Nothobranchius furzeri: one gene and its partners. The protein of the gene in region 5 interacts with the protein of the main gene of each other region in a pairwise test. Links are inferred from orthologs where the notes say so. Each region holds a gene or a part of one and is shown on either strand. Other genes may lie near its edges. The genes, in order: txlna, protein FAM110A, neuronal migration protein doublecortin, lmo2, rint1, rbm41 and c8h19orf25.

The links.
Region 1: the proteins of rint1 (region 5) and txlna interact in binary tests that used the Homo sapiens proteins (3 or more experiments, as listed by UniProt). The two-hybrid records come from large-scale screens. The link is inferred for Nothobranchius furzeri from reciprocal best matches to the Homo sapiens genes RINT1 and TXLNA.
Region 2: the proteins of rint1 (region 5) and protein FAM110A interact in binary tests that used the Homo sapiens proteins (3 or more experiments, as listed by UniProt). The two-hybrid records come from large-scale screens. The link is inferred for Nothobranchius furzeri from reciprocal best matches to the Homo sapiens genes RINT1 and FAM110A.
Region 3: the proteins of rint1 (region 5) and neuronal migration protein doublecortin interact in binary tests that used the Homo sapiens proteins (3 or more experiments, as listed by UniProt). The two-hybrid records come from large-scale screens. The link is inferred for Nothobranchius furzeri from reciprocal best matches to the Homo sapiens genes RINT1 and DCX.
Region 4: the proteins of rint1 (region 5) and lmo2 interact in binary tests that used the Homo sapiens proteins (3 or more experiments, as listed by UniProt). The two-hybrid records come from large-scale screens. The link is inferred for Nothobranchius furzeri from reciprocal best matches to the Homo sapiens genes RINT1 and LMO2.
Region 6: the proteins of rint1 (region 5) and rbm41 interact in binary tests that used the Homo sapiens proteins (3 or more experiments, as listed by UniProt). The two-hybrid records come from large-scale screens. The link is inferred for Nothobranchius furzeri from reciprocal best matches to the Homo sapiens genes RINT1 and RBM41.
Region 7: the proteins of rint1 (region 5) and c8h19orf25 interact in binary tests that used the Homo sapiens proteins (3 or more experiments, as listed by UniProt). The link is inferred for Nothobranchius furzeri from reciprocal best matches to the Homo sapiens genes RINT1 and C19orf25.

What each region holds. Positions count from the first base shown.
Region 1 is NC_091751.1:3,230,716-3,234,950, forward strand, and holds the start of txlna (alpha-taxilin), read left to right. Parts: upstream 1-1,435; 5' UTR 1,436-1,448; coding exon 1,449-1,548; intron 1,549-1,948; coding exon 1,949-2,128; intron 2,129-4,235. UniProt on the Homo sapiens protein: May be involved in intracellular vesicle traffic and potentially in calcium-dependent exocytosis in neuroendocrine cells.
Region 2 is NC_091755.1:41,859,566-41,863,631, reverse strand, and holds protein FAM110A, read left to right. Parts: upstream 1-1,266; 5' UTR 1,267-1,402; intron 1,403-2,131; 5' UTR 2,132-2,240; coding exon 2,241-3,509; 3' UTR 3,510-3,712; downstream 3,713-4,066.
Region 3 is NC_091750.1:46,841,016-46,845,285, reverse strand, and holds the start of neuronal migration protein doublecortin, read left to right. Parts: upstream 1-1,470; 5' UTR 1,471-1,612; intron 1,613-3,272; exon of another isoform or gene 3,273-3,374; intron 3,375-4,270. UniProt on the Homo sapiens protein: Microtubule-associated protein required for initial steps of neuronal dispersion and cortex lamination during cerebral cortex development. May act by competing with the putative neuronal protein kinase DCLK1 in binding to a target protein.
Region 4 is NC_091744.1:61,983,211-61,987,234, forward strand, and holds the start of lmo2 (rhombotin-2), read left to right. Parts: upstream 1-1,224; 5' UTR 1,225-1,370; coding exon 1,371-1,411; intron 1,412-4,024. UniProt on the Homo sapiens protein: Acts with TAL1/SCL to regulate red blood cell development. Also acts with LDB1 to maintain erythroid precursors in an immature state.
Region 5 is NC_091741.1:64,260,970-64,263,812, reverse strand, and holds the end of rint1 (RAD50-interacting protein 1), read left to right. Parts: intron 1-846; coding exon 847-965; intron 966-2,008; coding exon 2,009-2,222; 3' UTR 2,223-2,343; downstream 2,344-2,843. UniProt on the Homo sapiens protein: Involved in regulation of membrane traffic between the Golgi and the endoplasmic reticulum (ER); the function is proposed to depend on its association in the NRZ complex which is believed to play a role in SNARE assembly at the ER.
Region 6 is NC_091750.1:69,603,267-69,606,605, reverse strand, and holds the end of rbm41 (RNA-binding protein 41), read left to right. Parts: intron 1-58; coding exon 59-504; intron 505-577; coding exon 578-725; intron 726-924; coding exon 925-1,115; 3' UTR 1,116-2,839; downstream 2,840-3,339. UniProt on the Homo sapiens protein: May bind RNA.
Region 7 is NC_091748.1:78,709,091-78,712,368, forward strand, and holds c8h19orf25 (UPF0449 protein C19orf25 homolog), read left to right. Parts: upstream 1-1,207; 5' UTR 1,208-1,395; intron 1,396-1,780; 5' UTR 1,781-1,798; coding exon 1,799-1,940; intron 1,941-2,216; coding exon 2,217-2,398; 3' UTR 2,399-2,778; downstream 2,779-3,278. Other genes in the region: interferon-induced protein with tetratricopeptide repeats 1, read left to right, coding at 1-83.

The DNA of each region.
Region 1 (4,235 bases), on a different chromosome or scaffold from region 5:
TCACCACCAGGTAGTGGTCAGTAGACAGCTCGGCCCCTCTCTTCACCCGAGTCAGATGAAACAACAACAAAGTCGATCATCGAGCTGCGGCCTAAGGTATCCTGTGCCAAGAGCACATATGGACACCTTTATGTCTGAACATGGTGTTCATTATGGACAATCCACAGAAGTCTAATAACAAAACACCACTCGAATTCAGATCAGGGGGGCTGTTCCTCCCAACCACACCTCTCCAGGTCTCACTGTCGTTGCCCACATGAGCGTTAAAGTCCCCCAGCAGAACGAGGGAGTCACCGGAAGGAGCACTCTCCAGCACCCCCTCCAAGGTCTCCAAAAAGGGTGGGTAGTCTAAACTGTAGTTTGGTGCATAAGCACAGACCACAGTCAGAACCCGTCCCCCCACACGTAGGCGGAGGGAGGCTACCCTCTCAGTCACCGGGGTAAACCCCAACGTACAGGCACCAAGATGGGGGCAACTAGTATGCCCACCCCTGCTCGGCGCCTCTCAGTGGGAGCAACTCCAGAGTGGTAGAGTGCCCAGCCCCTCTCAAGGAAACTGGTTCCAGAGCCAGAGCCATACGTTGAGGTGAGTCAGACTATAGCTAGTCGGAATCTCTCAACCTCACACACCAACTCAGGCTCCTTCCCCACCAGAGGTGACATTCCTTGTGCCAAGAGCCAGCTTCTGTAGCCGGGGATCAGACCGCCAAGGTCCCAGCCCTCGTCTGCCACCCGTCACACACTGCACCTGACCCCTTTGGCCCCTCCCACGAGTGGTGAGCCCATGGGAAGGGGAACCCACGTTTCCTCATCGGGCTGTGCCCGGCCGGGCTCCATGGGTGAAAACCCGGCCAGCAGGCGCTCGCCTACGTGGCCCACCTCTAGGCTTGGCTCCAGAGGGGGGCCCCAGTGACCCACGTCCGGGCGAGGGAACACGGTTTCCATTTATTTTATTCATCATAAGAGGTCTTTGGGCTGCTCTTTGTCCGATCCCTCACCTAGGACCTGTTTGCCATGGGTAACCCTACCAGAGGCATAAAGCCTCATTTAGCTCCTAGGATCATTGGGACACTCAAACCCCTCCACCACGGTAAGGTGGCAGCCCAGGGAGGAAGAGGGAACTACATTTATAAAATTTCAGTAGTTAGTACAAACACTTGCTGTAATTTTTTCTAAATAAAATGCATTTTTGTTAGTAGGTGAACTTGCTGTTTACTATTATTAAACCTTAAATTTTATATTAGCATAGGCCACATGTAAACCATAGTCTTACTAATTTACAAGACAGCTGTTCTGCAATGACAATAAATGTTTAATTGGTTTTTACCAGTTTTATCACTTTCTTGCTAGTATTTTTTTTTACATAGCAGAAAGAAGTTGGTGGCGGTAATGCACCATATCACCATTTGAAACCACCATTGAAAAGTCAAAGAAGAAGAATCAAAGTTATGACCGGAAGTTGTTTTTTTTTTCTAAGCCAGTCAGCTACACGCTGTTCAAGAAACCTGCAGCTCAGAAAAATTAGCCGTTTCCTCCTGGAGTCTTCAGGTAAACAAGTCTGTGTTAACCGTAGAGTCAGGGGAATGAGGTAACGTTTCGCGTCGCCATAGCTTTAGTAGTTTTCTGTTTTTTCTTTTATGGTACAAAGTAACACCGGTTGGGTGAAAGTAGTTCAAGACAATTTTAGCTGCGTGCGTAACTGCTAACGAGGGCTAGCCTGTGCCAGCTAATGTAATCTGGAAGCTAATGGAAACTGAAAATGGTCCGAAGTGAAAGTACACATTTGTTTTCCGTTTTGTACATAAACGCCATGTCTATGTATCCAGAAACGTGCTAATATTTTCGATTTTATGCGTGATTTTAAAGAACTTTATCGTCTGAACAGTTGGTGTATTTTATTGTCAAAGCCTTATTTAGACTCAGCGTTAGTTTCGTCTTTTATTCAAAGAGCTAAACATGAAAAATCAAGACACGGAAGAGTCTACCAGCCCGGGCAGCGAGGCTCCTCCACCTGCAGCTGGAGACACGGACGCTCCACTTCCACCTGCACCTGCTGAAGGCAGCAGCCCCAGAGAGATGGAGCCACAGGCTGGCCCTCCACCACAGGAACAGCAGGGGGAAAGCGGAGGTGAACTGCCTTTGGTTTGACTTTCTTACTCGTCCGTCACACTGTGTGAATTCTCAGTTTTAGAACAAATTAGATGAAACAGCACAAACCTAATTAATGGTTTGGTTGTCATCAGACTGAAGTGGAGAATCTTGTCAGTAATACCTGATGTCATCTGGTTTCAAGATTAACATACTAGAAGTCAAACTTTTATTGATGCAATCAAAGCTTTACTTGTACAATAAAATGGTCTTCATTCTTCACGTGTACTCAATCCATACATATCTAGATTATGTCATTTTTATTGTTATATGTCCTGATGCTGCCGACAAGTTATTTTATGCACTGATGTCATTAAACACAATCACACAGTTTAATAAACAAGAGTTTTTAAGGTTAAGAGATCCATAATAAATTAGTTTTGGGGTATTTTCTCATTACTGTAACGTTGTGTCAAGAACAAACTTACTTCAACATTTAAATAAAAGTAGGCCATCACGTCCTTGATGATATTGTGATAATTGTTTTAATGCCTCAAGTGCGATTCCTTTTAGAAGGCACATCATAAACAAATGAATCCCAACAGTTTTCCGCGTGACTGTGTGGGACACATACCATACCATACCATATTTATTTATTTATAAAGCACCATTTCAAAATAGCATGGCAGCTAACCAAAGTGCTGTACATAAAAAAAGCCAAATGCTTGACCAAGAACCACAATAAGAACAGGCAAAAAACATAAGAACAAAGCATAAATAGTCGGAGATAAAAATTCCTACTAAAAACCATAAAATAGAACAGTTAACAGCACTATAAAAATAAAATAATGCGACGAATAATAAAAACATTTGAAATGTCCCAAATAAACCGAAATAAAATACCAGATGGTGCGAGGTGCCAAAAGTGAGCAACTAAATCATAAAAATGGAATTAAAAACTCAAATCCGGTGCTAGATTGTCATGAAAAGTGTCACGGAGGCAAGGCAATGCTAAAGAAGTGCGTTTTCAGGGCCGACTTGAAACTGCTAACAGAGGGAGCCAGACGCACACGGAGGGGCAGGGAGTTCCAGAGTTTTGGGCTGAATAAGAGAAGGCACGCTCCCCCCGTGATTTGTACCAAACCTTCGGAACAACAAGCAGCAGATGATCTGCTGACCGAAGGGCACGGGTGGGAACATATGGGGTCAGCAGGTCCATCAGATAGGATGGGGATGGGCAGTACAAAGCCTTGTAAACATATAACAGGACCTTGAAGTTAATCCTAAATTAGACTGGGAGCCAGTGTAAATCTGCGAGGATGGGTGTGATGTGCATGCGTCTGTCGGTGTTGGTTAAAAATCTGGCCGCGGCATTTTGAACCTTCTGCAGTTTGCTTAAGGCTGAAGCATTAATCCCAATCAGGACAGAATTTGCGTAATCCAGACGTGAAGTAATGAAAGCATGAATGACTGACTCAAGATGCGGGCGTTTGAGGATTGACTTAAGACGAGTGATGCGGCGGAGTTGGAAAAAGCAGGACTTGACAGTAGCGTTGACTTGTGAAGACATTGAAAGGTCAGAGTCCAGTGTCACACCTAGGCTAGTGGCACCTGATTTGAGATTGAGTGGGAGAGTTGAGACATCTAAAGCACCATTCATGTTAGTGGGGCTAAAAAGTATGGCATCTGATTTGCTGTCATTTAACCGTAGGCAGTTTTGAGAAAGCCAGGATCTGACCTGGGAGAGGCATTCTGACATTATAGAAAATGAGTGCTGTTGGTTGATTTGAAGGTAGATCTGGCAATCATCTGCATAAAAGTGGTAGTTAACCCCGACGAGACTTGCTAAAATCTTACCAAGTGCTAGTATGTAAATTGAAAAGAGGAGAGGACCCAGGATGGAGCCCTGTGGTACTCCCCATGGAAGTGGGACATTGGGAGAAGAGCAGTCTCTAACATGAACACTAAAACACCGACCATTAAGGTACGACTTAAACCATTCCAGGGCAGTACCGGTCACACCCACCCAAAATTGGAGTCTGTGAAGTAGGATGCTGCGGTCAGGTCGAGTAAGAGTAACCGCACATGGGAGCCAGAGTCAGTCAGAATCAGGATGTCATTGAGTACCTGAATGTGTGCAGACTCTG
Region 2 (4,066 bases), on a different chromosome or scaffold from region 5:
TAGAATAGAGTGAATTTTATTAGTCCCACAGCGGGGACATCCACTCATTACAGCAGCACACACACTTATAGACGCAGATTACAGTAAAACTGATACCAGCCATGTTTGCTTTGATAACTTCAATAATTTCACGCTGATGAACACATGAACATAATCCTGTTTAGTGGATGCAAATACAACATGAAGTTAGCTTAACATGATAGATGTTTTTTCTTGGAAGGAAATAATAACTGGTAATATTATGAATGACATGATATCCCCCCCCCCCCCCCCCCCCGGAATTACAATTAAAACATTTACATTAATTATAATTAAAAGTTCCATTTGTGACATGTAGCTGTAACTCTACTGCAGATATAGATAGATAGATAGATGGATGGATAGATGATAGATAGATAGATAGATGGATGGATAGACAGATAGATAGATAGATAGATGGATGGATAGACAGATAGATAGATGATAGATAGATAGATAGATAGATGGATGGATGGATGGATGGATGGATAGATGGATGGATAGATGATAGATAGATAGATAGATGGATGGATAGATAGATGGATGGATAGATGATAGATAATATGAAGAAGTTCAGGAGAGTTGGATGTTGAATTGTCCTCACGAAAAGAAAATTTGTATTAAACAAAGGTCAGTTCCCTCTAAAGTCAGAGGTATGGAGGATTAGGGCCACTGAAAAGAAAAGAAAGAGAATTTGGACTTTTTTCCCTGAATTCCCTGTCAGAATTCTGAGATTAAAAGTCAGAATCTGAGAAAAATGTAAGAATTCTCTTTCTTTTCTTTTTTCTTTCTTGTCAGTGGCTCTAATCCTCTTCCATACAGAGTAGAAATAATACCCCCCCCCCCCCCCAAATGGCCAGCGACTTGTCCGCTCCCAACCCCATGACCCCGTCTCACTGTTTGAAATGTTCAAAAGTTGGCAGCCCTGTTCTGTTCCGTCTGAGGTAAAACTAACATTCACCCTGAAGGAGAACACCTGACCTTTGACCCTAATTCGTTTGGACTGGTGTGTCTCACCCTCTTCAGAAACGAGACTGAATGTTGTCTATTCGGGCTTCCTGAGACAAGACAAAAAAGGGTCAAAGAAAAGAAATACGCATTAGTAATCAGATTACAGAACGAGACCGGAAGCGTGACCTTTGGGAAGGATCCCAATCATTCAGCTTGCTGATAGGGCAAAAACAAAGAGAGCGTCACGTGGCCAGAGAGCTTCGGCTTGCTTCCTTGAAGGAACCTGATTGGTCCAATCATCCAAAGGGGCGGAGCTTCGAGCAGCACGCGAGTTGTCAGACAGGTTTGTCTTCTCGGCTTGAGCTGTTTAGAGGTTTCAGACAGTCTCGCTTTTGTCCTCACAAACTCCTCAGGAGCTCCTCCAACCACTCAGGTGAGAGCCCGGTAGGGCGAAGAGTAGAAGTAGGAGCAGGAGATAAGTTTAAACGGTTATTTAGAAGGTTCCGCACGCGCCTTGAGTTAGCTACCTGTTGTTTACCTGTCAGCGTTTCCGTGTTAGTCAGAAACTCCAGGAGCCCGCTCCTGGTGGTCAGGGCCGCCTCCTGAGGTTCCCCCCTGCCTCCAACCCTCCCAGGAACACACTGGTTGTTGCTTTTGTTCTGGAGGCCTGCAGACCTGAAGGCAGGTGAGGTGACGTCCCACGGCTCGGTCCGCAGGAGCCCGGGCCCGGCTCAGACAGGAATGGGAGCTATGTGCAGAATTTTCCTGGCAGACGGCTCGGGAGGCCTCCCGGAAGTTTCAGCCTCTCCAGTTTGTTTTTGTTTTCATGGATCCCAAATGAGGCGTGTGTGTGTGTGTGTGTGTGTGTGTGTGTGTGTGTGTGTGTGTGTGTCTGACAGCTGGTCCTCTGATTCACCCCATCACCCTCCTCACGGTCCCTCCTAGCTGCAGACCAAGTGTCAGTCTCATTGTGTGCCAAAAGATGGATGACTGAGGAATTGTTCTAATCCGACTTGCGCCGCCAGCCAATGGACTTGGAAGTCTGGGGGAGTACGTGGGAAGCCATTGGCTGGGAGAGTAAATAAGTGGGCGTTGGGGTTTCGGGTCTTTTGTGCCGTGAGCAGTCCTTTCTGCTCCCCTGACTGATGTTTGTTGTCCACAGGGAGCCCAGATGTCCAGGCTGAGCTGCTGAGATGGCATGAGGATGACGACCGAGATTAAATCCAGGTTTTATAATCTAAGGTAGCTGAAGGACAACTGGAGCTGACACCATGCCTGTGGAGACGATGCAGCAGCCTCCACGGCAGCCAGTGAGGGCTGCCGTCGGGGTTTCCCCTCCGCGTCTACGACCCAAGGGACCAGATTTCTGCAGGAGAATCGCAGCAGGAGCACCAAAGCAGAGTGCCGTAGAAAGACTGGAGGCCGACAAGGCCAAATACGTCAAGAGTCAGGTGGCTCTTTCCAGAACGCAGCCAGTCGGGCCTCCTGAGGTGAAAAGGCCTCTGCTGAACCCCAACACACCCCTGCGCCCCACCAGAAAGCCCAACCTCCAGACTGGTACGAAACCAGAGGGCGTCCAGCTTGACCTGGAGCACCTTAGTCACCTCATCAGTGATCTCCCAGTTGGGCCAACGCCTAACTCAGCGTCCCAGTCAGAGGACTGTAAGGCTCCTGGTGGTGCTGTGACTGCACACGGTTCCCTGTTCAAAGCTCAGCCGATGACGGACAAGCCACGCCCCCCTCCACGTCCCCTTCTGCGTCCCGACTGCTCCAGTCCAGCTAAAGTCAGACAAAAGGTACCTGCAGCTGCCGGGACAGAGAGTCCAGGTTCTCCTGGGGCTCCGGCTGCAGGAACCGTACGCAGAGTGGACGTCATGCCTCAGTTTGGCCCTGTGAGGACGGCCTCCAGACCCCCCCAGTTCATACGGCAGCCCCTCCAACCCAGACCTCTGATTTCCCACGTACTGCTGCGCTCAGCGTCGTCGCACCAGCGCGTCTCCCAGCCAAAAGCTGCTCCGGGTTCTTCTCCCTTGAAACCACTTGTTGCTCCAGTAAAACCCGACCACTCTAACCCACCTCCCGCTGACGCTCCTGCACCACTGCCCCCCACCCTCCCCGATTTCCCACTTCCTCCCCCCTCTCCAGCCATCACCCGTTTGTCATCCTCCAGCTCCAGAAAGCGTCCGTCATTGACTCGGTCCAAGTCCGACATGAGTGACCGGTACTCCCGGGCCGGGACGGAGCTGGAGCGCTTCTTCAACCTGTGCGGTCTGGACCCGTCGGACCTGCGTGAGCTGGCTGCTTCCAGCTCCGACATCGTGTCCCTCGCTCGCTTTCACAGCGTCAGCGCTCCGGGATCGGAGTGTGGAGGCTCGAACAGAGGGGTCAAAGAGGAAGAGGAGGAGGAGGAAGATGCCGGGAAAGCTGCAGACCGCGTTCCCTATGGGATTTCTGTGATTGAGAGGAACGCCAGAGTGATCAAGTGGCTCTATGGGCTAGGGCAAGCCAAGGACGACACAACCAAGAACACTAATTTATAGATGGACCGTCTGAGTTTTATTATGAAAGGGAAACTCGTTTCCTCTTTCAGAGTAAAAGTGGCTGCCCAGGTTGTTGAGTAAACCGGTGAAAGGCTGAATGTGAAGAGTCATCACCGTTGGCTGTGGTGATGATTTCCGCCCACCATGTTTCAGCGTGCGCGGATCGTCCTGTTGATAAAAATTACATTAAAGAATTCACTCAAGCTCTTTGTTTGGTCCTCAGTCATCACCTCAAACATAAAACAACGCACTCAGCATCAGCAGGTGTGTTTTAGGACACCTGAGACCAGGGGCGTGTCCAGGGGGTGGCCTGGGGTAGCACATGCCACCCTTGGAATCTAATTGGCCACCCCAGGTGCCACCACACTAATTTACCTTCAAAAAGGCTTTTCATTGTCCACAAAAGGCTTGGGGGTAAAACAAAAAAAAGCATAACCATTGGTGCCACCCATGCACAAAGTTGTGCCTCACCTGGGCCACCCCATTTTAAAAGATCTGGACACGCCACTGCCTGAGACCCACACGAACGGGAACTTCGAGTTTTAGGCGTCTCTTGA
Region 3 (4,270 bases), on a different chromosome or scaffold from region 5:
CACCCTTGTTCTTAACCACTGTGTTTTTAAAGGCTTTAATCACTAAATACTTCTAAAGACATTGGAAATTTATTTTCAGTTTTAAAAAGGAAAAACATCCCATTGTTCACACGGAGGGACTTAAAACTTGCACTGGAACTGGTCACTAGAGGGTGCTGTGGGTCTTTTTGACTTCAGCTCCTACCTGACTACATCTGCGGTGGTCCTGGAGGATGTAAAAGCTATTTCTCTAAACTGGTGCCATTCAGGGATGTATCTCTGAAATAGGTATGATTTGATTTATTTATTAGTTTTACACAAAAAAGAGACTTCAGTTGTCTATAATGCCTTTGGGGCTCTGCACACAGGAGGCGACATCGCCTCTCCATTCATTTTCAATGAGACATGTGCGACAAAGCGATAATCGCGGGTCTCCCTCCTACTAAGCGAAACGCGAAAACCGTGCGTGTGAAATTTTGCGCTCCTGCATGTGTCGTGCACAGGCGACCCAGCGACACGAGCAAGGAAGTGGATCCGTGTGTGAATGTGTGTGTGAATGGGTGAATGACTGATTGTGTTGTAAAGCGCCTTGAGGGGTTCCAGGACTCTAGAAGGCGCTATATGAAATACAGGCCATTTAGCTTTTACCATCCCAGAAAGTTGAAATATTTCCAACTTTTCGTCGCTGTCGCTCGGACGAGGACCAATCAACGAAGGTTTCATTCACTGACCAATGAACGGACAGGATGCTCCGTACATCTCCGAGCGAACATGAAGGAGAAGTTGATTATTATTATGTTTTACATAGTAAAATCAGAAGTAAGATTTCACATAACTCTAGCAGCACCTTGTGAAACATCATATCTACTGCCTTTTTAACTCTGAACCGCTTAAATAACCTTAATTCCCTCCAACCTGACACAGCCAAACAAAACAATGGACGTTTCGATTTCGCCATGGAACAGAACGCGTAGACGGCTGTGCCACTGGCCGCTGCCGCGGGTCACCTCCCGTGTGTCAGGTAATAAAAGCGACAGCGACAAATTTCGCTGATCGCGGTCGTTTGTCGCCACCCGTGTGCAGAGTCCCTTTCAGGTGGAGGAAGTTTCAGCCTCCTCCAGGCCTGTCCTTCCACTGACCAGGGGCGTGGCCAGGGAGTGGCCAGAGGTAGCACATGCCACCCTTGGAATCTGATTGGCCACCCCAGGTGCTACCACACTAATTTACCTTTAAATAGGCTTTTCAATTTCCACTAAAGGTTTGGGGGTGAAACAAAAAAGCATAACCAATGGTGCCACCCATGCACAAAGTTGTGCCTGACCTGGGCCACCCCATTTTAAAAGATCTGGACACGCCACTGCCACTGACACCTGTCAGCTCCACCCCACGTGGACTTGCACCTTTCTCCCCTTGGTGGGCGGGTCCAGCGCTCTTTAGGACCCAGTGGCTCCTGCAGGAAGCCAGGCACATGCTCGGCTCTCAGACTGAAGCAGACAAAGGCAGAGAGAGGAGAGACGGCGTGCAGCTATCCAGCAGCATCGAATCACACACACTTACACTCCCCTCCCCGCACACACACACACACACGCACACAATCACACACACTCCCTTCACTCCGGGAGCTGCGACGCAGGTGAGTCCGCTTCTGCCTGTTTGAGCTCCTGTCTACTGTTAGAACCGAGTTTAAGTGATAGTATGTGGACCAGGGAGTTGGTACTTATGGTTAATTAGGTCTGCATGAGGTGACTTTAGTTGGGCTGGAGGTGTGCGCACACCCAGTCCCTCCTTTTTTTTATTCTGAGAAGTCAAATGGAAGCTTTCTGCCATGTGGTCGCTCCTATCATCATAAATCAGAGAAACTTTTATTTTCAGTGTGGTAAACTATATTTATTCAGCTAAAGCATGCAGATGCACGAGGCAGAACGTGCTGGTTTGTCAGAAGAGTGTGTGTGTGCGCGCGCGCGCCGACTGAAGTGTTGTGTGGGAGGCTCAGCCAGGAACACAGAACCAGCCAAAAATATCAATGACACCACGCAGAGTTACTGCAATGCTGCCTAATGGCCAGTCTGAGATTCGTTTGGTGGCACTCTGTGAATTTTGTCTGAGGAACTGACCCAATCGGAACCAATAAGAAACCCTCTGTGCATTTTTGAAAACCTTATCATGATGAGAGAGGCTGAGATGTGCTGGTGTGAGGATGCACTTGATGAACCTGAGCTGGAGTCTGAGCCGGCTGCTGCTGCAGTAGCAGTGATGTCACCGTGAAACCAGGCTCCCTGTTGGAGACAATGGACTGTCCTAGTTGATGCTCCACTGGGGAAGGGTCACGGTTAGCCATGGCTATTAGTGCAGCAGATGGGCCTGAAACCTGGCCTTTGTCAGCTGAGGAGCATCACAAAAGTCCCACCCCTGTCAGTGTTCTGGGATCATAAAAAAAAACCAGTCAGCAGCTCAGCCATGAGGGTAGCATGAGTGGAGCGTCCTCCACATGGGTGGGTGGTGACCACGTGTATCCCCCTGTCTGTCAGCACTGTCCTCTAGAGAAAGCTGTCTGCTTATAGGTTGTCTGGTGCGTTTTAATGAGGTGGGTTATAAACATCAGTCTTTTACTTGTTTAAAGACTTTTTCTATGAGGAGTTAAAGGATCCATGTCAGTGGTGCAAAGCAGCATTAGAAAATAAAAGTAAATATTAAACTTTAGGTTGATCACTTAAATGTTTCTGTTTGAATATTTAAGAAGAAATGTCTCTCTTGATCCATAAAGGAAGCTATCCTGCATGCGTTAGCACACGTGTTCCTGCTCCAACACACCTGCCTCTTCATCAAGTTCTCAAGCTAGCCTGTTGGGCATCGATTCAGATCGGGTGTGTGTGATCAGAGAAACCTCTGAACGGGCAGGCTGTGGCCCTCAGGTTGCGTCCATCAACTTAAATCCTAAAATAAACAGGCCGAAAAATCTGAATATGTAATTTGATTAAAACATGTGTGTGAAATATTCTTTCTGATTAATTTTAAAATTGTTTTTAAATGCAGTCTTCTAAAACTAGAACCTTCTCGATGCAAATCCACTCCCAACATCATCAAAACTAATTAAGTTACTGAAAGGCAAACATCTGAATAGACTTCAGCAGAAACCAGTTGTGTTGGCCCAACGACCAGAGGAGACCTGCGGGATGATTTCATTGTGGAGGTGTTTTGATGAGTTAAGTGATGGCATCAGTGGAACAGAGCTTTAATCTGTGCACAGCTGAGTTCCTCTTTAATGTGGGTGTGGTATTTGACGGTTGTGCACCTGTGCTCACCATCAAATCTGCATAGCAGTGTTTGTTACCAGGCTGCGGTCGTCAGAGGTTTTATCTGAGGAAAAAAGGTGCACCAATCGTCCTCGTCTGCAGGTAGGTTAAGAGACCCAACAGGCGCATCATTTGTTTTTAGGACCGATAAACCGTCTCTGATTTAAATCGGCACACGCTTCTTTCTGTCGCTTATGGAAATGATCAGAGGAGAAGCTCTAAATGTAAAATGCTCAGTTCTATCAGATATCAGCTGTTGAGCAAACCTCATTAAAACTTGTTAAAAAAACTCACAGGTGTTTCAGAAAAGTCTTTAGAAGTTAAAGTTGTTGTTTTAAAAAAATTATTTGATTTGATTTTAGGAAAATTGCTTTTAAAATAGCCTCTCAGAAAAAAAGCACTAAATATTTAAACTCTGATTCATCTGCAAAATTCAATTCAATTCAAAGATACTTAATTAATCCCAGAGGGAAATTAGAGTTTCAGTACACACTATTCTAGAATTGGTGACCGTGGTCTTTCGCAACCCGAGTCGCGCTACCTTAAAAGATCTGCCTCTGACGAAGCTGTCATGAATCAGGATAAAATGTAGAATTTGTTTTACATAAATTAGCTAATGCGTTATTTTTCTGATTTGTGAAGAGTTTATCCAAGTGAAACGAGGCAAAACCCCCAACCCATTCACATAAATAAGGTGTTGACTTAAGGGTCAACTTAATCTAGTTTACCTTTTAAAGTTTGAGTTCTCATTCAAGATTTATTCCTTTCAGTTTTTCCAAGTCCTTTCTAGGAAGGTCGTTTTTCATTTAGCTGGTTTTCTTTGTTGCATCTGGTGAGACAGCTGTTAACAGATGCTTGTAGGTGGAATTGCGGGCTGCTCGCTACGTACACACGTTTAATGTGATCATTTATTTGGATGTATCCACCACAAAAGGCCTCTAGTCTCGTGTTCATTGAGATTTGGTTTGAAGATCTTTGCCTTTTTCTCATTTTTTCAG
Region 4 (4,024 bases), on a different chromosome or scaffold from region 5:
AGATTTGTTGTTTCGACTCATAATATAATATTCAAACAAAGTTATTATTTATGATATTTGTAAAACTTGACATATAGAGTTGAAAGTTTTCATTTAAGTTGACATGACTCAAGTTTTTAAGGCAGCTGTTGAACTTTCGTTTTTAAGTTATTCTGTCCTACAATTTATTACAGTGTACAGTTTGCTTCTGATCTTCATGCACTGTTTCTGACTGCTGGAACTAAAGCGCTTTATCTGTCCTCACAGTCCAACTGATGTGTGTGTCCCTCCCTCTTTTACCCTGCAGCTCTGGCACTAGATAAGACATGTCCACTGGCGCTTTGGTTTGAAAAGGAAAGTGTGCCAAAAACGACAAGAAATACATTTTATTATAGGGGTAAAAGATTAGTATATATATTTTTTTAATAAATCATATTTTTCATTCTAGAACGTTCTATAGTCATTCTAGACTCGTTAAGCTTTGCTGGCAAATTTCTGAAGAGAAAAATGTAAAAATCAGAACTTTAAATTTCACACATTATCTTTGAAGGGTAATGTTCCTCTTCACAGCGTCTGCGTAAATGTACGAGGTGTGCACATTATTTAAATTTGAACATTACATTTCCTTATTTAAAGCAGAAATTCAGCACATCTGTTTAATGTTGAGGAATGTGGCACAAAAATGCAGCACAAGCTCAATTTGAGATGATTCTAAATTTTCTTTATTCATTTATTTGCAAAACAGCAGGCCACATATTCTAGAACAAAACATAAGAATATATTTTTATTTGCCTTTGACATGAACAGTTTAGATGTTTTACTTGCATTAATTACAGACAAAGCAAAGGAAGACATGATGGGCAGATAAAACTACCAGCAGGTGTTTTTATCAGCTCAGCTCCTGCAGCAGATGGACTCATTAGTCAGTCACGACCATCACGACCCTCTGCACGACTCACAGACCAGCAGCTCTGCTGTCGCTTTAAGACCCGTTTCCCCTCATTGTGAAGCGCTGAAACAGGAAGAGAGAAGCGAAAGCAAAGCCCGAAGGGCCCCAATGTATTTAAACGCGCTGCTGCTGCAGCTGCTGGCCACTCGGACACGCACTACTTCCTCCCCGCAGAACCCTCCTTATCGAACCGCACTGGCGCGGTTCTTCTAGTCGCTGTGGGACCTGCAAGGCATGGAAGTGTTGCTGCCTCAGGAAATGATGACAGCGTCCTCCTCCATCGGCGTCTAGCTGATTAGAGAGGGAGCTGTTCTTGTTCTGCATCTGTTGGAAACAAGGGAGCTGCTTCTTGAGTTCGCTTTTTATTTCCAGCGATCTGAAAGTGGTTTTTACCAGGGGTGCAGGTGCAGCGCGCCTTCCAGTATCCAGATCAGGCTCGAGAATGACTTCTACCATAGAGAGGAAAACACTGGAAGCAAACGAGTAAGTCAACTAAAATAAACACATTCTATCAGAAAACTATCCCACGTGCAAGACGATGAGATCAGATGTTTCTGCTTATAATATTCATAAAGAAAATTTAAGGAAAAATTAAAGAAACGGATGTAAGGTAAAACTAAACTAAACTACATGTTTAGAGTCAGATGTTGCAGCCATAATGGGAACAGGAGTTGTAACATAAGTGTATTAAGGCACACTGTAAAGGCGTTGGACCAAGGTTGAAACTCGCTTTACACTGGGAATGCTGGCCAGAGCATTACTTAAAGCCCCTCAGAATATAAAGAAGATGAGTCATAATTGTAGTTGTGCGCCTGGCTTCTTTATTATAGCCCATAGGTTAGGACAAGTAAATCAGGATAGCAGTTGATAGACATGATAGCTCATGGGTGTGGTTTTCCTGCAGAATGACAAATATGACGTATGTATAACTTAACCTTATTAAACAATTAACACACATCAGAATATTAACCTTCCGCCACCACATCATCAGTTAATAACCATACTAAACAGTCAGAGGTCACTAAATCATCATCATCTGCTCACATAAAGCCACTATATTAAGGTTTGTCAAGTTAACCTTGACGTCGTCGGTCAACTTCCGGTCTGTAAACAAAAGAGTGCTTTTATTTTCCCGACTGGGTACTTCCGGTGGCGGGTTAGCTTAGCTCAGATACTCTGAACCAACTCCCATTCCCGCACTGTAACAACACCGCTGTACTTCTCTACATTCCCGTATACTCATACAAAGCACATTCATGCCTCCTCGTACGACACCAGCAGACCAGCGCCGATCGGTCCCGAGGGAAGGTATATCAACAGCGTTTTCACAGGGACAGGAAATGCATAATAATTAACTCGATAGCCATAATCAGTCCAACATTGCACTTACTGTTCATCCACGCACACACTCGACCATGTCCCGGTGCTATCCCCCAGGCAGCAACATATCGCAGAGAGGAACCCGGGACACAAACTAGAGCTACGTAAACCTCGAGAGATATGAACCTAAAGCCATTTTATCTCTATCTCTAGCTGGACTTCTGGAGCAGACTTCCGGCCAACTACAAAATAAGCGTAACAAAGGGAATGTTTTCCCAAAATGCAAGACTTTGAGGGCTTTTCTACAATAAGCCAAGATCAAAAATCCATTCATTTTTGTCTGCTTATCTTGGGTCAGGTCATGGGGGGTAGCAGCCCAACTAGAAAGTCCCAGACTTCCCTTTCTCCTGCCATTTGGGCCAGCTCTTCATGAGGAAGCCCAAGGTGTTTCCTGGCCAGACGAGAAACATAGTCCCTCCAGCGTGTCTTGGGTCTTCCTGTCTTGTAGTTGGATTTACCCAGAAAGCCTCACCAGGGAGGTGTCCAGGAGGCATCCTAACTAGATGCCTGAGCCACATCAACTGGATCCTCTTGATGTAGAGAAGCAGCGGATCTACTCCAAGCCCCTCCTGGATGACCGAGCTGCTCACCCCATCTCTAAAGACACCCTGCAGAGAAAACTAAATTCGGCTGCATGTATTCACAATCTCATACCCAGAGCTAGTGACCATAGGTGAGGGTTGGAACATAGATTGACCGGTAAATTGAGACGCTCAGCTTCCGGCTCAGCTCTCTCTTCACCACAACAGACCAGTACAACGCCCACGTCACAGCAGACGCAGCACCAGTCCACCTATTGATCTTGTCCTCCATCTTTCCCTCACTCATGAACAAGACCCTGAGACATGTAAACTCCTCCACTTTAAGCAGGACCTTGTCCCTGACCTGGAGAAGGCATTTACCTTTTTCCGGCTGAAGATCAACTGTTAAAAGATAGAAAAGAAATATTAAATATTACTTGCATATTTTAAAATAAATGTTTCAAAAGTTCTGGAAAAACATCTTCGTTGTTTGATCCGATCAAGTGTTTCAAGAATCCTTTTCACATTTTTAGTAGTAGCAACATATTATTTTTCATTTTTTTAAAGAAAATTCCTAAACAATATTCCTGATAGGTGTGTATGAGTCATATCTTACATCCTTTACTAACTCAGGACCAGTGGTGCTGCAAGATTGTCATGGGGTTCCAAGCAAACACTGCAGACTGGAAAGTGTGCTGCAGTTTATTTGAGCGTGGGAGTGGGGGGTGCACAGACAGAAATGTGTGGCAGAGCAGTGAGGGGGAGGAGGAGTGCCCTGTTGGGTAGTGTGAGACAGCCCAAGTTATGTCAAATTACAGCTTTTCACAGTCCCATAGAGCTCCGGGAGTTGACGTCACATCTCCCGGCATGCAACAGTTCAAATCGAAACGGCGCCATATTGGCATGCAGAAGCCGGCAGCTGGACTATTTGTTATTGTCAGAAAATTCAATCAAACGGGAAATATGGTAGATTCCTGTTGTGCCCCAGGATGCAGAACAGACGCGGACGACATAAGGAATGAGTCATCTACAGGATTCCCCAAGTTCCGGAGCGCCGCAAACGTTGGATCATTGTAATAAAACACGTTAGTGACCGGGATAAAATGAAGCTGTGGGATCCCGAGAGTAAAGGTTTTCGCTTATGCAGCGACCGCTTCATATCAGGTACTTAAACAACGTGTCCTCAACTGTGTAT
Region 5 (2,843 bases):
TGAGAGTCTCATTTGATCCAGAAGCAGCAAATTTTGATCAGCTTAGATCAGATAATTATTCCTGTGCTTTGAATTCCCCTCTGGTGTCCAAGGAAGGCCGTTAAAAGAGGTTACTGGGTCATCTTCAACAGAATGAAGTCCAGATTAGCACTCAGCTAGCTGAGAGACTAGATGTGTGGGTGGATGAGCTGGATGTCTGGGAGGGGTTGGTTTTGGCTGGAAACCTCATGGTCTCATCTGTGTCATCATCTTTTCAGATGATCTACTTCTGCATGCACGGGGGTGGTTCTCCACCCAAAAAGGGCGAAGCGCTTCCTCTGGGATAACAATAAGTCCACCTTATAGAGAAGAGTTCAGGCATCCCAGCGTGTCGTATGAGGGTCATGGATGACGGCGGCTTTGTCTTCTCTGATTTGTCGGGGTAAAGAAAAACCTGAGTGAAAAGGCGAAGCTCTTCATTAACTGACCTGTGGACATTCAAACCCTCACCTGTAATCATGAGACCAAAAGAACGAAGGGAGGATCAAACTTTTACTGAGACGTGTTTTGTGTGATCTGATGCCGGGCCTCTGAGTTGGCGCTCTGGTTGTGGAGACCCAGTTTTTGTAGAACTGGATCAAGCACCAACTGCGGTTCTAGCACTAGAGTGTCTTTAGACTGATCATCCTACATGAGAGGCTTTCTGGGGGTTGACCCAGGTTTCTGAAAAAAGGGGTAGGTTCAGAACGGACGTTCCAACTTCCCAAACAAACACCATCCAACACCATCATTGTAGCTCCTCGGCATCTTCTGTTGAAGGATTTGCTTCCAAACATCTGACCTGTCGTATATTTGTGTTTCTGTCAGGTGATCTTGTCGAACCACTTCAGTGACGGTGGAGCAGCTCAGCTTCAGTTTGACATGAGCAGAAACTTGTTTCCTCTGTTTGGTCACCACTGCAGAAGACCAGAGAACTTCTTTAAACAGTAAGTGTTCAACAGCAGGTTGATGATGTAAAACCTGTTCAGGTGGCCTTTTGCAGAAACACCTGTAATGTCTCTGAATCGGGTCCAAGCTGTAGCCTGGAGACATTCAGACTGAAGCTAGTGGAGGTCCGGGCTGAAGCCCATTTGTCTGTGACAAAACCTAAACATGGTCTGACTCATCCAGTTTCACACGCTGGAACAGGAGACGTTAATCCTTAAGGCCAAACAGCTCTCTGTACGTTTTACGGATGGAAAAACACTGAACAGTTCCATTTTAAATAGGGTTGCACGATATATCACAAATATATCGTTATCACGATATCAGCATGTACAATATGCATATCGCAATGAATGGTCAGCTCAAATGTTTGCTACACATAATGCATTCTGTCAATCAGACGTAAGCATGATGTTTTTTTAACAAATCAAAATGAGCTCTTTACCCATTTGGCCAATTAGGTGGGTTCTCATAGGTTAGATGCCCGCCCCGACACTTAATTTTGATGGTTAGCAAACACCTGAGTTAGCTTTGTTCTGGTCTTTCTGCTGATTCTGCTTTTTCCGGGATCCACTGATTACCTTTTCTTGTTCATTTTCTTTTTCCATTTCCTCACATCTTTTGCTTTTCTTATTTTTATGATTTATTTAATCCTTTTTTTTATTTCTTTGTTTTTTATTATTTTTGTTCCTGAATTAAGTTTTTATTTATCACTAATAATATCGTCATCGCAATATTAATCAATATTATCGCATATCGCAGGCTTTTCTAATATCGTGCAGCCCTAATTTTAAAGAATCATTTTCTTGTATCGGTGGTGAATAAAGTGAATGAACTTCTTACTTGACCCATTTCAGAAAATCTAACAAAGGTTTCACCAAAAGGTAGAAACGGTGTCCACCTGATGGTCCACCACAACCTCCTTCAGCATCATCCTCTATAACATGTAGTATCATTTTAAAAACGTCACCCTTGCTATCATGAAGGATGTAATCAAAAGGTGACCTTTATTTCTGATTTGTACCTCTGCTCTGTGTGTCTGCAGTGTGAAGGAGGCTTGCATCATCTTGTGTCTAAGCGTGGGTTCTGCAGTTCTATTGAAGTCCGTCCTGAAACAGTCAGACCAGGATAACAAAGACTGGGAAGGTCCTAAGGATTCTCCACCAGAGTCCACCCTGAATGAGTTGGGAGTTTACTGTTTGTCACCATGTGACGTGCTTATTCTCCTCAACCTCAGAGCCTCTCTACCAGAAATCTAATAACTGCTCTGTAGCAGCATTACATTTTAGTGGTGTGTGACTGTCTTCATGTGTCCTGACATGTTCCTCGTGTAGCTGATGGTTTTACAGTCAGAACATGAATAAAATCCTATTACTCTAAGCTGTCTGTTAGATGATTCTGTTTTCATCAGATGATGCACATGTAGAAATAATTCATCATAACAAATGTTAGAGTGGAGATAGTCCTGTGTTCACTAATGCTGACAGACACAACCTAGCGTAGAAGCAGCAACACAGATAATTTTTTCATTTTTACTGAAAATTCAAAAAAACTACAATTAAAACTGTCCCAGTTTTCTTACACAGAAAGGGACTGAGCAATCATAATAAACTAAATATGCACATTTTCTGATTTTGAATTGTTTGTCCATGTGCAACATTAACTCATATTCCAGTAATGCATGAGCTAAGCTGTGTCAACATTGTTTTTTGGAGTTTCATAAAAGACTGTCACTGAATCATTAAAAGTTTGAATAAATTGGGAAATAATTAGGAAATTAAATTATTGAAATAAATATTTTGTCAATATAGTCAAAGTGTTTACTCCCAATAATTTTTCAAGTGCAAAAAATATTTTTTTTCTGACTGGTTAAATTTGGA
Region 6 (3,339 bases), on a different chromosome or scaffold from region 5:
TAGTGTCAGCTGATAGATTGTTGGTAGGAGGTGGAGAAATATGAAAGAAAAGTTTTAGTTTCTGTTCCAGATGAAGACGATGTAGATGGACAGCAGGAGGCGTCCTCCTCTGACCCCATGGGTCCTCTCTACAGAGACATCCTCACCTGTCAGAAACAAACAGGACCAACATGCAGCTCTGAAACCGTCCAATCACAAAGCTCCCAGAACTCCAGCAGTCTACAACCTACAGAGTCTTCTCACCATCAGTCGGATCTGCAGCGAGACGCCTCAGAGCAGCAGGACGAGAACAAGTTACAGCCGCAGCGACTAGTACCGATAAATCTAAACCAGCCAATCGGGCGCCTGTGTGGAGCGGCAGGGGCAAGGTCAGGAGCACAGCTCGCCATCAGCGGGGAGATCGAAATGATTCCAGAGGAAGAAATCCTGAACAGCCGCGCACCCGAGGAGGAGATCCTGAGCATCCCGAGGTTCAGGAACTACCGTCCAGGAAAACCTTCCAAGGTTCCAGCAGTTTGTTACCTAACCTGTGTGTTTCAGCTGTATGAACCTAAACCTGATCCACCTCCTCTCACAGGTTCTGTGTGTGAAGAACTTGAGCCGGCAGGCGTCCGTAGCCCAGCTGGTGGCGCTGTTCTCCAGATTTGAGCGGAAGAGCGAGGCTCCGGTGCTTTACCGGCTGCTGACAGGAAGGATGAAGGGTCAGGCTTTCATCACGCTGCCAGGTGAGGACGTGGTTCTCAAAGGTAAAACGTAACGACCACAGAAACGGATCTAAATGAAGTTCTTTTAAACGTAAAAATTCAAGTTTTTAATCCACGTGACTTAAAACTTGAGAACTAAAACATTTAAACGAGGAAACAAGTGATCCTGTTTACTTTGATAATTAAATGAATGTAACCTCGGCGGTTTCTTTTTCGACAGACGCAGAAACGGCCCAGAATGCATTACAGTTGGTCCATGGATACCGGTTGCTAGGGAAGCCTTTGGTGGTTGAGTTTGGACATGAACGTCAGGAAGTGGAAAAACAAGGAGAAGGAAGCGTGGAAAGAGACGGTGCTGATGCTGTGCTGAAGTCTGGCCAGCAGATGTCACTCTTAATCGGGTTCAAATGATTCACATCACTGAAGTATCCATCCATCCATCATCTAAACCCGCTTATCCACACAGGGTCGCGGGCGGGGGGGGGCTGACACCCATCTCCAGCAGTCTCCGGTCAAACAGGGTACACCCTGGACAGATGCCAGCCCATGGCAGAGACACACAAACAAGCACACACACACACACTCACACATCAACCTGACAGTCACGTGGGTCAATTCAGTAGAGTGTGAGAATGGAAGTAGTTGAGAAATAACCAGAATCTGAAGGGACAGCGAACACGAGGACACCTGGGAGGAGGGAGAAAACGTGGACAAGTGCATTGGAGCGGTGTGGAACGTTGCAAGGAAGCACAGGAGCGGGGAGCAGGCTTTAGCGAGTTAGAAGTGCCAGTCCACACTCCTGATCAGTAGGTGGCGGCAACGCGCCTCAACGTTGCTTCATAGCCGCCATAACGCCACAAAGAAGAAGGAAATGTGGAAGGGACTGTGGAGGCGGGGACACAGGACATGACACCTGCATCCTGCTGTTTCGCCTGCACACACCTGAGCGTCAAAGAAGCGTTCACGGTAAAGTGGAGTGTTGTGCGAGTGTCTCGCCTCTATGCTGCTGTTGTTGTTTATATCAGCAGCTGTAGGGGGAGTCGAACTCGCAGCCAAAGCTTTGGACTGGGCTGTTACTGCTGCTGCCCACGTCTACACCCAGAATGAACTCAGACATGGCTGCTTTGGTTGTGCTAACTGATAGACGTCATCCTGCAGCTGAAGTCCACACGGGTGCGTTTGTGGTTTACAAAAAAATAAAACTAGATGTCATAATCTGGTGAAACGAAGCAAACTAATAAGGAGGATTTTGTTGTTAATACATTTGCCGTCAAATGTTTCGAGCTTTTATACCTTGTTTATTTTGCACTAATGTCCATTCGTTTGAATTTCTCTAAAAGTTCTCTTGTTCGCTCTTCCTTCTTCCATCTCAGGAACGTTGCTAAGCTGAGTCCCATTCTGTCCCACTCTGAACTTGAGACAGTTCTCCACACCCTCATCTCCTCACGCTTAGACTACTGTAACTCTCTTTTCACGTGTCTGAGCAGAACCTCCCTGAACCGTCTACAGGTGGTTCAGAACGCCTGTGCTCGGCTTCTGACCAAGTCCTCCAAACACACCCACATCACCCCGCTTCTCCTCCAGCTTCACTGGCTGCCAGTCAACTTCAGGGTTCATTTCAGGATCCTGTGTAAATACAGTTGAAGCAACTTTTTTGTTCAAATATTCACCACAAGATGGCACTGTGATTTTGTTAATGCCCTAGAAAGTTTATTTAAAGTATTATTTTTCATGTTTTCAATACATTTCGTAGCATTTACAGGTGCACAGAGTTAATAATTTTTTGTATTTGAGTAATTTTGAATTTGTTTATTTTGATAAGGTGTGTTTAAGAGTGCTGTGACGTCACTTCCTGTCTCATAGCTTCTGAGATTTTATTGATGCGCACGGACAATTTGTGCCATTTAAGAACATTTGAGAAGAAGTTAAGTTAAATGTTTTCAAGTCTACCGTTTTGTCTACTAGCAGGCCAAAGTGGTTTGTTTATTCTTTATTTAAAAACTGTATGTTAGCAAACTTAAGGCAAATAACTTGTTAATTTGTACATGATTTATGCTTTTTCATCAGTTATACAGTGTTCATGTGGTGTAAAGATAAAGAAGATGCAAGACCGCATTAAACATCAGTAAAAGGAACGCTCGTGTCTCTCGTGTATGTAAACAAGCCGGCACATCCTGGTTCTGAACTATAGGGCCTTACATGGACAAGCACCATTTTACATTGTTGATCATCTCAGTCCCTACACCCCCAGCAGGTCCCTGAGGTCCAATGATCAAAGCCTACTGGTTGTGCAGCACCAGGCTAAAGCTTGGTTTATGCTTGACGCATTCACTTTCTGCTTGGTGATGCGGCTCGTGGATGGAACGCGCTTCACAACTTGCAGCGTTTATGGTTCATGCGGCTTGTCTCTGCAGTGAGCCAATATTCTCCCAAACTGTAGGGGGCAGCATGGAGCTCTACAGCATGCTTCCAACACTACACCATAGTAGAAGTAGAAATGACTGTTGTTTACAACATGGCATTCCAGCATTTTAAACAGCGTCCTCGTCTTTTCCGACAGTGCGAGCTATTTCTCCTCAAGAATTATTAACAACATGTTGATCACGGTGATCTCTGAGAGCTGAATCGTACACAC
Region 7 (3,278 bases), on a different chromosome or scaffold from region 5:
GAAGGCTGGAGAAGATCAGAGAAGAGAACCTGCCGCCCACGAGCAGAGAGGTCCACGAGTTCCTGCTGGATCTGACAGACTGACCCGGATTCATGCGTGTTTACCGGGATGATAAACACGAAGGAAACAGACGAATAAAGTCTAAATTAAGGTTTTGTGTTAATAAAATTATCTTTAATACATTTTAATTTTTTCTGCTACTTATTGGAACTCATTTATTTATTTATTTAGTTCACAAAAGTAAAATATTCTGATTAAAAATAAAATATTTGAAATGTTGCTTCTGTCAGTTACTGGAGTAAAATGAGAAAGAATCCACTCAACATTTAGAGATTTAAAAAATCTCAATTAACTGATTTTAACCTTTTGCCCCCCCCCCCCCCCCCCCCCCCCCGGTCTTTTTTATTCTGGTTTTTACTTTCTTCTGACTGATCATGAACTTTGTGATCGATTGCTCTGGTCTACAGTGTGCTGTCCTGACGACAGACCGGTACAACGCCCAATAAATTATTAGCAAAAATCAGAATTAAGAAATAAACACAATGAAATGAACCGGTTCCAACGTTGTTTGAACCAATTTTTACGGCTAAACGAAACTAAAATTAATCGACTCTTTCGGTTCCCAAACGGCTCCTCACATTTTTTGTGCCTGAGCCACCTCAGCTGGTTCCTCTCGGCATAGTTTTTAAACTAATTTATCACCAGAAATCATGTAAAATCCATCTGTCCATTTTCATCCGCTTATCCGGAGTTGGGTCGCGGGGGCAGCTTCTACTAGCTGAGACGTTCTCTGCTGTTTCCTGGACTCTAAACCAACAGCAGCCTTCCCCGTCGTTAGCCAAGATGGGTGAGCCCATGAATGTTAGTGACAGTGTCACGTAGATCTGCCAGGCTTTCCTAGAGATTCCCCGTCAGTTTTCTATCAGAAGCTAATAAAGGAGATAGATGTAGGAGACTATTTTCATGTTCAGCCTGCATGAAACACTCAGAGTGCCTGATTATCAGAAATAATAATTAAAACATGTTTTTCGGTGTTCAACACCTTTAACAATACAGTCTCTGAACAAATAAACATTAACGTGTATTACATAATATACAAGTACTACATGTAGCAAAATCACATGACTTTTTTATTACTTTATTTTTTTTAATATAAAACAAATCACGGTACAAAAACATAAAAACACGCTCTGCCGACGTGGCTTGTGACGTTTTGACGTAGGCTGTTAATGAACTTCCGGTTTGGATGTTAAAAGAACGTCCGGGTCGTTTTGGCTGCTCGTCGTTCATAAACTACAGAAACGTTTGTTTCCCATGAGCAGTCCGGTTTAAGTCGTTGCCGACGGGCTGAGAGCAGACACATCAGAAGGTTTCCTCCGTGAAGAATCAACTCTGGTAAACTTTAGAGAACGCTTCCGCGCCGCGCGAGCTGCGCGAGCAGCAGCCCGAGTTTCATACAAAAAACGTCTAAATTAAACAAAAATCGGCTGCCAGCTAATGTTACTTCCGTCACTAACGTCATTTTTACCTCATAACAATTGTTGGGTTGTTCTGAAATGTTCGGCTTGAAATGTTCCCGCTAGACTAATAAATCCGTTATTTTCCTACGAATATTGTTGCATTTTAAGCTAATTCTGGTGTATCACCGCTAACAGTTAAATTTGGGTGTTGATGGTTTTTGTTTATGCCGAATTGGTAAAATAAAAAAAATCGTATTTCGTGTATTTAAATGTAAGACACGTGACCTTTTCCTCAATCATCAGCGTGAACTGTGTTTTAGGTGGATTTGTCGTCTAAGATGAACATTGGCTCTAAGAATAAGAAACGTGTGGTTCTGCTCAGCCGCCCAGAACTTCCTAATGTGGACCAGATCCTGGAGGACATCAGCAAGGCTGCTCCTGATGATCCGGTCTTCAACGTCCTGGAGAAAACTGGGAAAGGCGAGTCCACATAGATGACCTTATAACAAACACGGTTATCTTCTTAGTTTAAATCAAAACTTGTCTTGTTCTGTTTAACACTTCACAATAAAAGCCCATTTCTGTTTTGATGTTCAGCATCTTGGTTACATCATGTTTAAGAAAAACGAGCAAAACAGTTTTTAAGATGGCCAAGAATGATATTCTTTATAAAATCAGGGATGCTTGTGTTTCATGGCCTTGCTCCATCATTCTGGATTCTGGTTGTTGAGCTTTGGTCTCATCTGCTCTCTGCAGAATGGTCCCTCCTTGCAGACAGTGAGGTGGAGCACCGGTTCCTGCAGTGTCGCCGGTACCTGGAGCTGAATGAGCGGCTGCGGGAGGCTCAAGGCCAGCTCCAGCGGCAGTGGGAAGAGCTACTGGCTGTGGGAGAGCAGCTGGACAGAAAAGTGGAAGAGATCAAAGGTCAACTTCTCTGACTCTACACCATTTCTGCTTGGGACACTTTCTCTGAACTCTGACTGGTCCAAGTGCCTTTGAGCCAGACAGCAGTGGCGCCACAGTGCTGGATGAGTTTTGAACTCTCAAATGGGCCGGGCTCTGCCGACCTCGTATCTGCCTCGCAGTAAAAGCTGCAGAAAGTCTTCTTTTGAAAGGATAACAGCCGTTTGGCTCACAGTGAAGGAAACGCAACGATGAGTCACATGAAAAGTAAATCTGAGAAGAAAGGAGAGTAAATCAGGAGAAACGGACAGAAATGAACAAATGCACAACTTTAATGTTTGTAATAAAAGTAAGTTCATCTGGAAAAGCAAAGCTGACCGGGGAAAAGTAAATATTAAAATGATCGTAAGCATTTTATTTTTGTCGTTTCTTCTCCGTACACAGAAATATTTAAAGTTTTCTAAATACATGAAATATTTTTAAAATGATTTGATTGTTATAAAAGGTTGTAAAAACAAGAGCAAACAGATGGAAAGCATTTTTAAAATAATGCCCAAACAAACAAAATCAAGACTAAAAGGTTAACATTTAAAGGACCACTTACCAACATTAAAACACCGGGTTACCCAAACAGAAGGTGTTTTAAAAAACACACGTTGATATTAAAAATCGACGCACTAAGAAAACACCCGAGTGTTTTAAAATCCCAAAGTCGGCAAACTACGATGTTAACCTTAAAACAGAGTCAACATCAAACAAAGATTCATTTGGATCACTCAGAGTTAAAACTATTAAAGTTAAAACTCATCAAAACGAAGGTGTTGAAACCAAAACGAGGCCTGGAGGACAGCAGAACCCTGCAGCCTTTTACCCCGGGTGTGGGTCATCAGGAGGATTCAGCTCAGCTGGGCTCCT